Caenorhabditis elegans: one gene and its partner. The protein of the gene in region 1 interacts with the protein of each later gene in a biochemical or structural test. Each region holds a gene or a part of one and is shown on either strand. Other genes may lie near its edges.

The links.
Region 2: of the proteins of rga-4 (region 1) and rho-1, one has a biochemical effect on the other in vitro, tested with the Caenorhabditis elegans proteins (one study listed by BioGRID).

The regions. Positions count from the first base shown.
Region 1 is NC_003283.11:1,380,108-1,385,815, forward strand, and holds the start of rga-4 (Rho-GAP domain-containing protein), read right to left. Parts: upstream 3,150-5,708; 5' UTR 3,133-3,149; coding exon 3,010-3,132; intron 2,495-3,009; coding exon 2,018-2,494; intron 1,591-2,017; coding exon 1,393-1,590; intron 324-1,392; coding exon 1-323.
Region 2 is NC_003282.8:16,482,586-16,491,098, reverse strand, and holds rho-1 (Ras-like GTP-binding protein rhoA), read left to right. Parts: upstream 1-2,077; 5' UTR 2,078-2,132; coding exon 2,133-2,153; intron 2,154-2,670; coding exon 2,671-2,805; intron 2,806-4,951; coding exon 4,952-5,302; intron 5,303-7,035; coding exon 7,036-7,107; 3' UTR 7,108-8,323; downstream 8,324-8,513. UniProt on the Caenorhabditis elegans protein: Required for ventral migration of epidermal cells during ventral enclosure in the embryo and for cell elongation. Also required for ventral migration of P cells during larval development.

The DNA of each region.
Region 1 (5,708 bases):
TCGCGGAAGCTCGGCAGAAACGATGCGGACCGCTTTTTTTTCGACTCCAGCAACTCGCCCTTCTTCCGCGAAGTCACTATTTTGTGAACAGCTTCCGAGTCTCGGCGGTGAATGGCGAGTGACGTCGACGGGCCGCCGGCTCCAGCTTCTCCTCTCTGGTGGAGCGCCGCTGCTGCTGTTTGAGCGATATTCGACGATAGACAATCCGCATCAGACGACGACGTCTCGTATCCACTGCTCATGCAACGTGGCATCGCGCTCGAGCTTCGGAGCATCGCGTTACTTGTCACGTACGGATCACGACGGACACCAATTAGATTGGCCTGAAATTGATAAGAAATTGGATTTTAAATTGTGATTTCGAATATTTTAAATGAGGACTAACGATTTTTGGACGATTTTGAACGAATTTCATCACGAAATTGATCAAAAATTCGGAAAAAAATACACTTATTCTTGCTAAAATCTCAATTTTTTGCCACTTTTCAGTGTAGCATCTGTCAGAAGTTGACTTTTTCGGAATTTTCATATTTTATTGCATATTTTAGTGGTTTATTCACTTAATTTCCTTTAAGGTACATTTAAAGGGGGAATAGAGTTTGTGGGTATTTTGATTAAATAGACTAAAACTGTTCCAAAACCACCGAATTTAATAATGTGACTTCTCAAAAAATTTCCAAAAATTTTTTATGGCCGGTAAAAATGTCGAAAAAAAGAGCCAAATTTTGCTAAAATCTGAAATTTTGCACTTTTCTTTGTCACAGCTGCTGGATTTTTGTTTTTCTGAAATTATCACTTTTTAATCCTTATTTTGGTAATTTCTCGTGAAAATTCGTTGATTTTTGGATGCCTATCGGCCTAAAATTTGTCTCAATCGACGAATTTCCGCGAGATAAATTACCAAAAGAACGATTAAAGGGTGATAATTTCAAAAAAAAAAACAAAAATCCAGCAACTGTGACAAAGAAAAGTGTGCGAAATTTCAAATTTTAGCAAAATTTGGCTCTTTTTTTTCGAAATTTTGACCGGCCATAAAAAAATTTTGAAATTTTTTTGTGAAGTCTAATTACGAAATTCGGTGGTTTTGGACCAGTTTTAGTCTATTAAGGCAAAACTCCCACAAACTCTACTCCCCCTTTAAATGTACCCTAATAAACGAAATTAAATGAGAGAAACCACTAGAATATGCAATAAAAGGTGATAATTCCAAAAAAAAAAAAAAGTCAACATCGGAGAGATGCGTGGGCAAATTTCGAGATTTTAGCTAAATTAAGTGTCATTTTTCCGAATTTTTGATCAATTTCGCCGCGATTTTTTCGTTCTTTTCAGCAAATTTTGAGCATACACGTTCAAAATCGTTAGTCCACCTAATAAATATGTGTTGAAAATTACATTAGTAATCAATAATTTAACCGCCGCCGTGTTCACACTCATATCCTGCCGCTTCTGCGCCAAAATATCCTCCTTCGAGCCACGACGGATCTGTGAAGTTTTGCGCGGATCGTGAATACCGTCACCGAAGACACTTCCGACGAGAACGATTGCCAAATTTTCAATCGACATCTTGTGCTGGTCACTGTGAGCGGCGATCTGGAAAAAGGAACCGAGTTTAAATGAAAAATTGCATTTTTCGCGCTCCATTGACAATCGCCCGCTCGGAAAGTCGTGTACTCCACACGGAGACAAATGAATCTAGTTTTACAACTAAAATCGAGCCGCGACGCGACACGCAACGCGCCGTAAAACTACCCCAAATATTGCCGAGCCAGTCGGCAAACTCTTCCATTTCAATTTATGAGAGAAGCCAGAAATGGAAGAGTTTGCCGAACTAGGCCATTTTGGCTCAGCCATATCTGGGGTAGATTCACGGCGCGTTGCGTGTCGCGTCGCGGCTCGTTTTTAGTTGTAAAACTGATGTATTTGTCCGCGTTGTCCGGCTTGTCAATGGAGCGCGAAAACGTCATGAGGAATGCCAGAATTCCGTGTCAAAAAATCAAAAAATCCACGAGTCACATACTCTGTACAGCTGTCTCATCACATATCCCAGCGTTGAAGCATGCACATCGGAGAGCAGCGGTGTCTGTTGCTCGATTGTGCGATCCTCCAAGTAGAAAATGTCTGCCATCTCGTCTCGCGTCATCAGGAAACTATCCGAAATTCTCGCTTGGCACGCTTTCTTCAGAAGTCGAGCTCGACACTCTTCTGAATCGAGCAGCGGTGGCTTCAGATCGCGAAGAAACCGCTTCACCATCGTGCAAACGTCGATAACACTGTAGTCGTTAGGAATGTCGCTCTGCCCTTTGTAGATTGCCTGTACTTCGGCGCGATTCAGCCGAACAGAGTTTCCTTCCTTGCGGAAAATCCCGTCAGTGTCCATTCCGTGCTTCGAAATGATGTTGAACGCGTGCACAATGAACTTGGGAACCTCCTTCAGACGTATTCTCGTCCAGCCGGTGCCGACGTTCACGTCCAGCGTGACATTTGTTGAGCATACCTGAAAAAATGCAATAAGTTATAGATTTTTTTGGAATGCAGGAGCTCCTAGTCCTTGCTGCGCTTCGCCTTTTTTGCCTTTCCACTGAAAATAGCTGATTTATCGAATTTTTAGCTTTAAAAAAACAATTTTCTCTGCATTTACCCACAAACCTTTTGAAACTTTTTTTGAAACTTTTTTTGTCCACTGGTGGTGAAATGGTTTGAATTTGAAGAAATCAACGGGATTTTTCACATTTTCTAAATATTTTTCTATTAAAATCGATTTTTTAAAAAAAAATCCCGTTGATTTCTTCAATTTCAAATCATTTCTCAACCAGTGGGCGAAAAGAATTTCATTTTAGTGATTTTAAATTCGATTTTAAAATATTTTCACTGTTTAACAAAAGGTTTCTTCGTAAAATGCAGAGAAAAAAATTTTCAAAGCTAAAAAATCGATAAACCTGCCATTTTCAGTGGAAAAGCCAAATACGGCTCTTTTCGGCTTAAAGGAGCGCGTGCTGCAGCAGCACAAACCTCTCCAAGAGTGTAGCTTAATTTATTGGATTTTGGTCCAGCGGCGGCGGCGCCGGCCGTCGTCGTCGAGCCTTTCCGATACACCGATGACGACGTAACGACACGAAAGTCGTTGTGTTCCATATAGTCTCGGTCAGCCTGGAGAAATAATAATTTTAGAATTGAAATATAATTACAACAACAAAAAAGTAGAGCGATACACACGTTTATTATTTTTGCAGAAATTTCGAAATGATTTAATTTCTTTGAAAATTGATATCGAAATGCAGAAAACTCAGGTTGTTCTATCTGAAAATAGCATTTATTTTTGTTAAAAAGCTTGAAAAAGTCCCGAAAAACTTTCAGAGGGCTTTTTCAGGCTTTTCAACTCGTTTTCTACATTTCTATATCATTTTAAGATCAAAAAACCTGATATAAATCAATTTAAGAGCACGGTTGAGTCGAAAAGCTCATCATTTTTCAAGAAAATACGCCAAATAGCATTAAAAATCACGGAGACGGCTTCAAAATTCGAATAGTGAGAACAGCGCGCCGAGTGAAGCGGGGGGAGAGGTCCGCAAACACCGGCACGCGAAAATGCAGAAATCCGTTTTTTTTCTCCAATTATTAATTAATTAATGCGATTTCTCATGTTCAGAGGAATAATTACTTGAAAATTGAACGTTTGTCGAAATAAATGCATAAAAGCCAAGCATGTTTAGCTAATTTCTGTGAATTTTTGTGGTTTTGAATAGAAAATAGAAAAGATTTCGGCGGGGAGATCTGTTCCGGAAGAGAGATTCTAGATTTCTCCCTTTTCTTCTGTTTCCGACACTCATAACCATCTGAACATCTGGGTGATCATCTGGGTGAAACGACATCTGCTTGGTCTCCCAGGAGGCAAAATATTTAGAAAATGGAATTATTTTAGCCGAAAACTCACCATATGTATAGTGTCGAGAACGCATGCACTTAAAGAAAGATGAGTCGTTGTTGAAATCTGAAATTTAGAATTTTAGTTGCAAAATCGATAAAATCATGGGAACTATTAAACAGTCGGAAGCGGTTAACAAGACGAGATAAGAGCGTGCTGCTGATAATCGCAAATAATATATATATTTATTAAGAATGAATATGTTTTGTGTTGTCGAGAACAATTTTTCAATTAAAAAAAAGAGAAAACCGTCATGTTTTATTGGAAAAGACGACACGTGCGATTCCAATCAGGTGCATTAAATTGATTAAAAAAATTACACAACTTATTACTTATGGAACACAAAACGCTGAGAATGCATATTTTGCAACATATTTGACGCGCAAAATATCTCGTAGCGAAAATTACAGTAACTCTTTAAATGACTACTGTAGCGCTTGTGTCGATTTACGGGCTTGATTTTCGAAATTACGAATAAATTAATATTTTTTACTTCAAAAATCAAGCCCGTCAATCGGCTACAGTAGTCTTTTAAAGAATTACTGTAGTTTTCGCTACGAGATATTTTGCGCGACAATATGCTGTGCAATACGCATTCTCGGAATTTTGTGTCCCCGTAATATGCAAAATTCAGGAGTTTGAAAAATAAATAAATGAATTTTTATCGAAAAATTATGGAAAATCGATGAAAATTCGAATTTTTATCGATTTTTTGAAGATTTCATTACGGTTTGTAAACACTGTAGGTTTTTTTAAAAAATAAACAAATTCATTTTCAACGAAAAACTATGAAAAATCGATGGAAAGTCCGCAGTAACAAAAGTTTGAAGTTACAGTACTCTTCAAAGGCGCACATATTTTTCCAATTATCAAATAAATTCGACGCGAAAAATATCTCGTAGCGAAAACTACAGTAATCCTTTAAATGACTACTACTGTAGCGCTTGTGTCGATATACAGACTCGTTTTTTGAAATTTCAAAAATCGAGCCCGTAAATCGACACAAGCGCTACAGTAGTCATTTAAAGAATTACTGTAGTTTTCGTAACGAGATATTTTGCGCGTCAAATATGTTGTGCAATACGTATTCTCAGCATTTTGTGTTCCGGTAATATGACAATATGTGCTCTAAAATGCTAGTTTTCATCGAGGCGGAAAATTGAGAATTCGTGATTCCACTGATTTCGCTCTCACCTCGTTACCCTCATTTTTCGGGTCATTAGGCTATCGTACACAAACACACACGTGGTGTCAGGCTGTCTCATTGCGGCTTGATCTACAAAAAATGCGGGAAAACACTCTTAACCATGGAAAATCAAGTGAAAAGTCTGCGTCGTCTTCTCCCACATTTCTCGAAGATCAAACCAAAATTGGGACATTTTGACACCACGTTTAAACCGAGGCGAATAAAAAATAGTGTCGAAGGACTAAATAATTGTTTTTTTTTGGCAATTTTAGAAAAATGCAAATCTTGTGACATCAGTTGCGACGTGCCTCCTACTCAATCCCAACTCCTTAGAGACGTCGTGTGGTCGGCTAAGTTGGTTCTTACTGATTTTTGGAAGCGACTTTTTTTGCAAAAATCTAGCTTCTGCAAGTGAGCAGTCTTTTTATATTGCTTCGAAAAAAAAAGAGAAAACCTGGGAAACTTAGAGTGAGAACAAAGTAGTAAATCGCGCCGTAAAACTCATTAATCTTTTTCAAAGTTCATCCATTCCGACAATCGGCGACTATTCGCCGGGCAGGCAAGCGCGAAGAAAAAACGGGATCGCTATTTGATTGTGGG
Region 2 (8,513 bases), on another chromosome or scaffold:
TCTAAAGCCAATTTTCTTTTTTTTTTAAATCCACTTTCCACAGTGCTTTTGCTGAAAAAACTCGAATTTTAGAGATTTTCAAGTGAATTTCCTCTGAGAAGATTAGAATTTAGGCTTTTCACTCATCTGTAGTTATCGTATTGCGTACTGCACAACATATTTGAAGCGCAAAATATCTCGTAGCGAAAACTATAGTAATTTTTTAAATAACTACTGTAGCGCTTGTGTGTCGATTTACGGGCTCGCTATACGCCTGGCCATAATTTTTGTGTTCCCGTTGGGACCTCTATGTAGGCGTTAAAACGCATGCCTGCCTGACCATAAGGCGACCTCTGCCTGCCTGCCTGACCTTACGACCTCCATCCGTGCCTCATATTCAATTTTTTCATCTCTAAAATTGTTTTTCACCAAATTCATAAAAATGGGAAAATTTTAAATCTGTAAATTCTCAGGCAGGTTTCAGGCAGGCAGTGGAACCGCGCCTGCCTACCATGGAAGTCCTAGTTCCCGTAATATGGTCGATTTTCGAAGAAAAAAAATCCGGCACTTCCGCTGACTCACGTAGTGCCAGGCTGCTGTCCCATCACGGGTTGATCTACAAAAAATGCGGGAATTTTTTTGGCCCAAAAATACGTGACGTCAGCACGTTCTTAACCATGCGCGAAATCAGTTGAAAAGTCTGCGCGTCTCAATCAACTCCCGCATTTTTTGTAGATCAACGTAGATCAAGCCGAAACGGGACACACTCTGACCACATTTCCGCTGACTAATTGTGATCTACTTCTTATCATCCCGCCAACCTCCCCCGCCACACCCCAGTTTTTTCAGACATTCCCCACTATCGGTTTGAATTTTCTTCCTCTCACCTCCCTCGCCACTCTCTCTCTCTCTTTCACACAAGATGAATCATCATTGGCATTCAATTTGCAAATCGATGTCTCCGCTCTCTGTGTTCTCTGTGTTCTCTGTGTCTCTCCCCACTCTCTCTCTCTCCCATCATCATCATCATCACTGTACCATTCTCTATGTCAGTGTCGTTGTGTGTGTGTGAGTGGTGTGAGTGGGGTGTCTCCAACCAACACATACAGTAGTGACTCACTACCAGTGATCTACCCAGTGGCCATAATTTTTGACGTCTATACGTTTTTTTTTTGCCGAAAAAATTGCTCCAAAAAAGCAATTTTTGTGGTTTTCCAAGCGAAAATCTGGAAATTTTCTGAAAAATTCCATTTTCACCGTTGAAAATTGCGATTTTCGTGATTTTCCACGTTTTTGAAGTTTTTCGGCCATTTTCAAGCTATTTTCCGTTGCTCGAATTCGGTTGAATTCCACCAAATGCACAAATTTGTTCAGAAATTTGGAAATTCGCCGGATTTTCATGGATATTCTGGAAAAATTCCATTTTTTAACGTTGAAAATTTGGAATTTTCGGTCAAAATACGACCAAATTCACAAATTTATTTGGAAATTTGAAATTTTTCTGCGAAATTCCATTTAAAAACGTCGAAAATTCCATTTTTCCATAGATTTTCGTGGCGAAAACTTAAATTTCCACCCTTTTCAAGCGATTTTTCCGTTGAAAAAGCGACCAAATTCACAAATTTGGCCGAATGAATTTCACGGAAAATTTTGAAATACCTCCTTAAAGGCGCAGGGACTTATTCAGATGGGTCTCGCCGCGAGAACACAGTTTTTTTAAATTTTTGTGGCTTTTTCAATGAAATTACTTGATTTTTAGCGAATTTTGTCGTTTTCCTCTCATTTTTTTTGGTGATTAAGACAATTTTCACCAAAAAAATGGGAGAAAAACGACAAAATTCGCTAAAAATCAAGTAATTTCATTGAAAAAGCCACAAAAATTAAAAAAAACTGTGTTCTCGCGGCGAGACCCATCTGAATTAGTCCCTGCGCCTTTAAGGAGGCATGTGTCGAATACTCATGAAATTGCTCATTTTCAAGCGATTTTTCCCGATAAAAGCCCATTTTTCTCGCATTTTCTCCTGTTTTTTCTCTTTTAAATATTTGTTAATCTCAATTTTCCAATCTAATTTTTTCTAATTTTCCCTTTTTTTTGCAGGGCTCTACGGGTGTTCCCTCTCGCGTTCCTCACTCACACACACACATAGAGATAGATGGCTGCGATTAGAAAGAAGGTGAGCAGCAGCTCCTCTCATTCTGATGCTCCGCGGCTCATTAAATTGTGCTCAATTGGAGAGAAAATTGGAGAAAAAACGACGAAAGTCGATAAATTCTCCTTGAAATTACAGAAATTTCAGTTTTTTCAGCAATTTTTCGCGAAAATCGATGTTTCTCGGCGATTTTGGGGCTCTGAAGCCATTTTCATTGAAATTTAGTGAAAAAAATATGTGTTTTATCTAAAATAACTGAAAAATGGCTCAAAAATTGTCGAAATAATAGTTTTTGACAATTTTTGAGCTCTTTTTCAGTTTTTTTCAGATAAAATACATATTTTTTCACTAAATTTCAATGAAAATGGCTCCAGAGCCCAAAATCACACGAAAATATCGATTTTCACGAAAAAAAACTGAATTTTTTGTCATTTCCCTTGATTTTGAGGCGAATTTATCGATTTTTGTCGTTTTTTTCCCGAAAAAATCGAAATTTTCTCGGAAATTCCACTTTAAAATTGACTATTTTTTTGTTTTGCAGTTGGTGATCGTCGGCGACGGAGCCTGCGGTAAAACTTGCCTGCTCATCGTTTTCTCAAAGGATCAGTTCCCAGACGTGTATGTGCCGACTGTTTTCGAGAATTATGTTGCCGACATTGAAGTTGACGGAAAGCAGGTGCGGATTGGATGAAGAAATTGTGAAAAAATGCGATTTTTGAGCCGAAAATCGAGTTTTTCGTTCGGAAATTGACCAAAATGAAGGAATTTGTGATTTTTGAGCTGAAAATCGTGAAAAATTGCGATTTTTGAGCTAAACACGTTGTTTTTTCGACAAATTTTGACTAAAAGGAGCAAATTTGTGCTTTTCAGCCGGGTTTGAGCTTATCATTGAAAAAATTGGCTCGAAACAGTGAAAAATCGCGTTTTTTGAGCTAAAAGTCATGTTTTTCCGATAAATTTTGACTAGAAGGAGCAAATCTGTGATTTTGAGCTGAAAATAGTGAAAAATTGCGATTTTTGAGGAAAAAAAATCGTATTTTTGAGTCGAAAATTGCCTTATATTTTTTTAAGCTGAAAATCGTGTTTTTCAGCTATTTTTTTGCTGAAAATTCCCTATTTCTCAAAGTTTTCGTGAAAATTCCCCGTTTTTTTTACCAAAAATTTAAGAAAAATTGGCAAAAATGACTGTTTTTCGCCTATAAATTGACTGAAATGCACACACAAATTTACGATTTTAAGCAAAATTTTGAGGAATTTTGAGAGATTTTTCAGAAAAACTTGTGTGTTATTTTTCGAGAAAAACAGTATTTTCTGCCATTTTTTTACCTAAAAATCCAGGTTTTTAGCTAGAAATTCAAAATTTTCCAAAAAATGCCAATTTTTTGCTGAAAATCCGAGTTTTCGCCCCCCGAAAATTCGAATTTTTTATCCAACAATCCAAATTTTAAACCTAAAACTCCTGGTTTTACACCAGAAAATTCGAATTTTCTCATCTGAAAATCCAGGGTTTTTCACAAGAAAATTCGAATTTTTTACCCGAAAATCTAAGTTTTTCCTCTAAAAATCCAATTTTTTAACCTAAAAAATTCAAATTTTTGCTGAAAATCCAAGTTTGCTAGCTGCAAATCCAGGTTTTTCCCTTTTCAAATTTTACCAGGAAATCTAAGTTTTTCGGCTGAAAATCCGAGTTTTTAGCCACAAAATATATAAATTTTTCCAAAAAAAAAACCAATTTTTACTTATAAATCCAAGGTTTTTAGCTAGAAATTGCCATTTTTCATATTTTAAAATCCAAAATTTTCACCCGAAAATCCAGATTTTTACTCTAAAAAATCCAATGGTTTTTACCTAAAAAAAATTCAAAATTTTCCGAAAAGTGCAATTTTTTTGCTGAAAATCCGAGTTTTTACCTCAAAACTCCAAATTTTTAACCTAAAAAATGCACATATTTTTCCTCTAAAAATACAATTTTTACCGAAAAATCCAGGATCTCTAGCTGACAATTCAATTTTTCATTAAAAATCAAAGTTTTCCCCAAAAAAACCATTTTTTTAGCTGAAAATTACAATTTCTTACCTAAAATTCCAAATTTTCCTCATAAAGATTTTACTTATCTAAAAATTCAAATTTCTAGAAAAAAATCCGAGTTTTCTTCTCTAAAATCCGTTGTGTTTTTAACCTTAAAAATTCAAATTTTTCCAAAAATAGCGATTTTTGCTGAAAATCAAAAATTTTCCCTAAAAATATCAATTTTTACCTGAAAATTCAAATTTTTCACCTAAAATTCCAAGTTTTCTAGCTGAAAATTCAAATTTTTCTAAAAAAAATAGCAATTTTTGCTGAAAATTTAAGTTTTTTACCCGAAAATCCAAGTTTTTAACCTAAAAATTCCAAATTTTCCCTAAAAATATCAATTTTTACCTGAAAATTCCAAGTTTTTAACCTAAAATCCAATCCAAAATTTTAGCCTAAAAAATTCATATTTTTCCTTTAAAAATACCACCATATTTACCTAAAAATCCAGGTTCTCTAGCTGAAAATTCAAATTTTTCTAAAAAAAATAGCAATTTTTGCTGAAAATCCGAGTTTTTCGCCCGAAAATTCAATTTTTCATCCAAATATCCAAATTTTAAACCTTATAAATTCAAATTTTTCCAAAAATAGCGATTTTTGCTGAAAATCCAGATTTCTTCCTCTAAAAATTGAAATTTTTAACCTAAAAAATGCATATTTTCCTCTAAAAATACAATTTTTACCTAAAAATCTCGGGTTTTCCCTAAAAATTCAAATTTTTTCACTTAAAAATCCGAAATTTTCTGCAGGTCGAACTTGCTCTATGGGATACAGCTGGACAAGAGGACTATGATCGTCTGCGTCCACTCTCTTATCCGGATACTGACGTCATTCTGATGTGCTTCTCAATTGATTCACCCGATTCACTGGAGAATATTCCAGAAAAATGGACACCAGAAGTCAGGCATTTCTGTCCAAATGTTCCGATTATTTTGGTCGGAAATAAACGAGATCTTCGTAGTGATCCACAGACTGTTCGAGAATTGGCAAAAATGAAACAGGAGCCCGTGAAGCCTGAGCAGGGACGAGCAATTGCTGAGCAAATTGGAGCATTTGCATATTTGGAGTGCTCTGCGAAGACTAAGGACGGAATTCGTGAGGTACAACAAGCAGCAGTAGCACCGAATTGAGAGATGGAAATTATTTTGGAAATTGAGCGAAATTTTTGGAAATTTCAGCCGAGAAAACCCAAAAAATTTTGAATTTTTATGAAAAAAAGGGTTTTCAGAAAATTCGAGCTCAGAATTCCAATTTTTCTGCAAAAAATGATGACTTGCGAAGAAAAATTGGAAATTGTGCGAAATTTCCAGAAATTTCAGCCAAGAAAACCCAGAAAATTGCAATTTTTATGACATTCTAATGATTCGAGCTCAAAATTCGTGATTTTTGCGAAAATTTATATTTTTGACGATTTTGGCCTCTAAAAAGCTGTAAAAACTGCAAAAAATCCGAATTTCAATATTTTATGGGAAAATTGGGTGGAATTTTCGGAAATTTCAGCCTCGAAAACCCAGAAAATTGCAATTTTTATGAAAAAAAAAATGGATTTTCAGTGATTTTCTGAAGATCCGAGCTCAAAATTCCAAATTCGACGATTTTGGGATATAAAAAGCTGCAAAAATCCAAAGTTTTCGTGAAAAATTTTCCGAAAAGTTGCAAATTTGTGGAAATTTTCCAGATTTTTTGAAAAAAAATTTTTCAATTTATGTGAAAAAATGAATTTCTTATGATTTTTTAAAGATCCGAGCTGAAAATCGACGATTTTGTGCTCTAAAAACTGAAAAATCTGAAATTTCAATTTTTCATGGAAAATTATGGAAAAATGATTGGAATTTCCGGAAATTTCAGCCGAGAAAACCCAAAAAATTTTGAATTTTTATGAAAAATTCCAGATTTTGGCGAAAATCGATATTTTTCGACAATTTTGGGCTCTAAAAGGCCGTATAAATTTAAAAAAAAACTGATATTTCAATCTTTTTCTTGTAAAACTTCACCTGGAAGATATTTTCGATATTTTTCGACAATTTTCCGACAGTTTCAGCTGAATTTTCTAAATTTTTTGGAAATTTGGCCTAAATTCAGTCAAAAATCCGATTTTCGCTTCGAGACCCAAAAACATTGATTTTTTTAAATGAAAACTTAAAATATGTCCAAAAATTTCGATTTTCCAAAAGTTTAAATTACAAAAAATTCAATTTTTTTGGAGAAAATCACTTTAAAAAAATATTCGAAAAATTGGAAAAATTACAGATAAAAATTCAATTTTTGCGGAAAAAAAAATCGTTCTATTTTGAACAGAAATTTTCGAATTTCCCACAATTTTTTCCAATAAAATTTAAAAAATGGCTCAAAATTGAGCTAAAAGTCTCAATTTTCAACAAAAGTTCATCTAATTTTCCCCCAAATTTCCAATTTTTTCCAAGAAAATCGAAAAAAAGTTATTTTTCTGATTTTCTTTTAAAAAAAAAATTCAGCTAAAATTCTCACTTTTCCATTGAAATTTCCCCGAATTTCCAATTTTTCAGAAAAAAATTTGGAAAAAAGTCTTTTTTTTTTTAATTTTAATAAATTTCAGTTCAAATTTGAGGTTTTTAGCTCAATTTTGAGCCATTTTTCTGATTTTCATTGAAAAAAAAATAATTTAGCTGAAATTCACCAGTTTTCCCCCAAATGTTCAATTTTTTCAAATAAATTTTTAAAAAAAATTTACAATTTACAATTTTTTCCTGATTTTTTTCCAGAAAAAAGTGAAAAATTGCTCTAAAAGTCTCAATTTTCAGCTAAAATCCGAAAAAAAATCGATTTTTTTTTCACTAATTTTTTCCAATTTCAGGTATTCGAGAAGGCGACACAGGCGGCATTGCAACAGAAGAAGAAAAAGAAGAGCAAGTGCATGATTTTGTAAATCAATCGATAAAATGTCTGCTCTTCTTCTCTCTAATTCTCTCGTTTTTTCTCTCCCTCTTCAAAAATTGATTTTTCATCATTTTCCCCCCATTTCCCCCATACAAAATTTGAAATTCGCGCTTCTCTATTCCAATTTTTTGAGGTGGTGGCCGTGGCCTTGAAACTTGAAAAAGTTAGGCCACCGCTCTCTCTCTCTTTCTCTCTGAAATTCCAAATCACACATCTCCTCTCCCGCCCACACACACACACACATTTTATAGCTTAATCCCCGAATTCCCCGAATTAAAAAAAAAATTTCCGTTTTTTTTTTTGATTTTCACAATGTCAAACTGTGTTATTCCTCCGTTACCCCTCCGACGCGCTTACACACTTTTTTCTTTAAAAAATAATTTTTTCTCTGCCAAAATCACTAATTTTTCATTTTTATTGAAAAAACCTCCATCGCCCCATCGCTACTTTCCTATCTTAGCTTCAATGTAACAGGTTTCTATTTTTTTTTCGTCGAATTTTTTTTCCTAGCGAGCTTTAGCCAAGGATGCCGTTTTTCGACGATTTTGTAGAAAATTTTTTCAAAAAAATTGGACAATTGGCCAAAATTGAGCTATTTTTTGAGAAAATCCGGAAAAAATCGGAAATTTTCCGTTTTCTCCTGAAAAATCGGAAATTTCCCTTTTTTTTTACGAAAAAATCGATTTTTAGCTATTTTTCGAGAAAATCTGAAAAAACAAAAAAATTCCGTTTTCTCCTAAAAAATCGGAAATTTCCCGTTTTTTTAAATGAAAAAATTGAAAAAAAAAAATCGATTTTCACCACATTTTGAGATATTTTTACTGAAAAATCGGAAAAAAATCGAAAAATTTTCGATTTTTAATGAAAAATCGGAAAAAATCGAAAATTTTTCGATTTTAAGGACTCTTGGCTCCAGAGCTTGCTCCAGAAAAAAATTATCGATTTTTCTCGATTAATTTAAGAAATGCGTGCGATATTTGTAACATTTTCCTCTCTCTTTCTCTATTTCTCTTCGTCTCTCCCTCTCTCCAGCAGCAGCAGAAGCTCCCCCCCATACATCTTTAATGGTTTTTTTTATTGAATGACAGCAAACTTTCCATCCAATTCTTCCCCCCAAACCACCACCGCAAACACACCTATTTTATTTTGTTTTGTGACCCCGTTTTCTTTATGTAAGGAGAAATGAATAATTATTGGAAAAGTTTTTGAATCTTGGTTATTTTTTTCCGTTTTTTTTTTTGCAGAATTTCTGGCGACTCTTAGGATGGCTGTAATGAATTTTGTGATGAAAAATGGCAATTTAAAGAATGAAAAAAAGAAATAGAAAATAAAATAGAAAAAAATACAAAGTTTCATAGCAGTTTCATAATTGTTTAGAAAAATGAAATTTTTTGA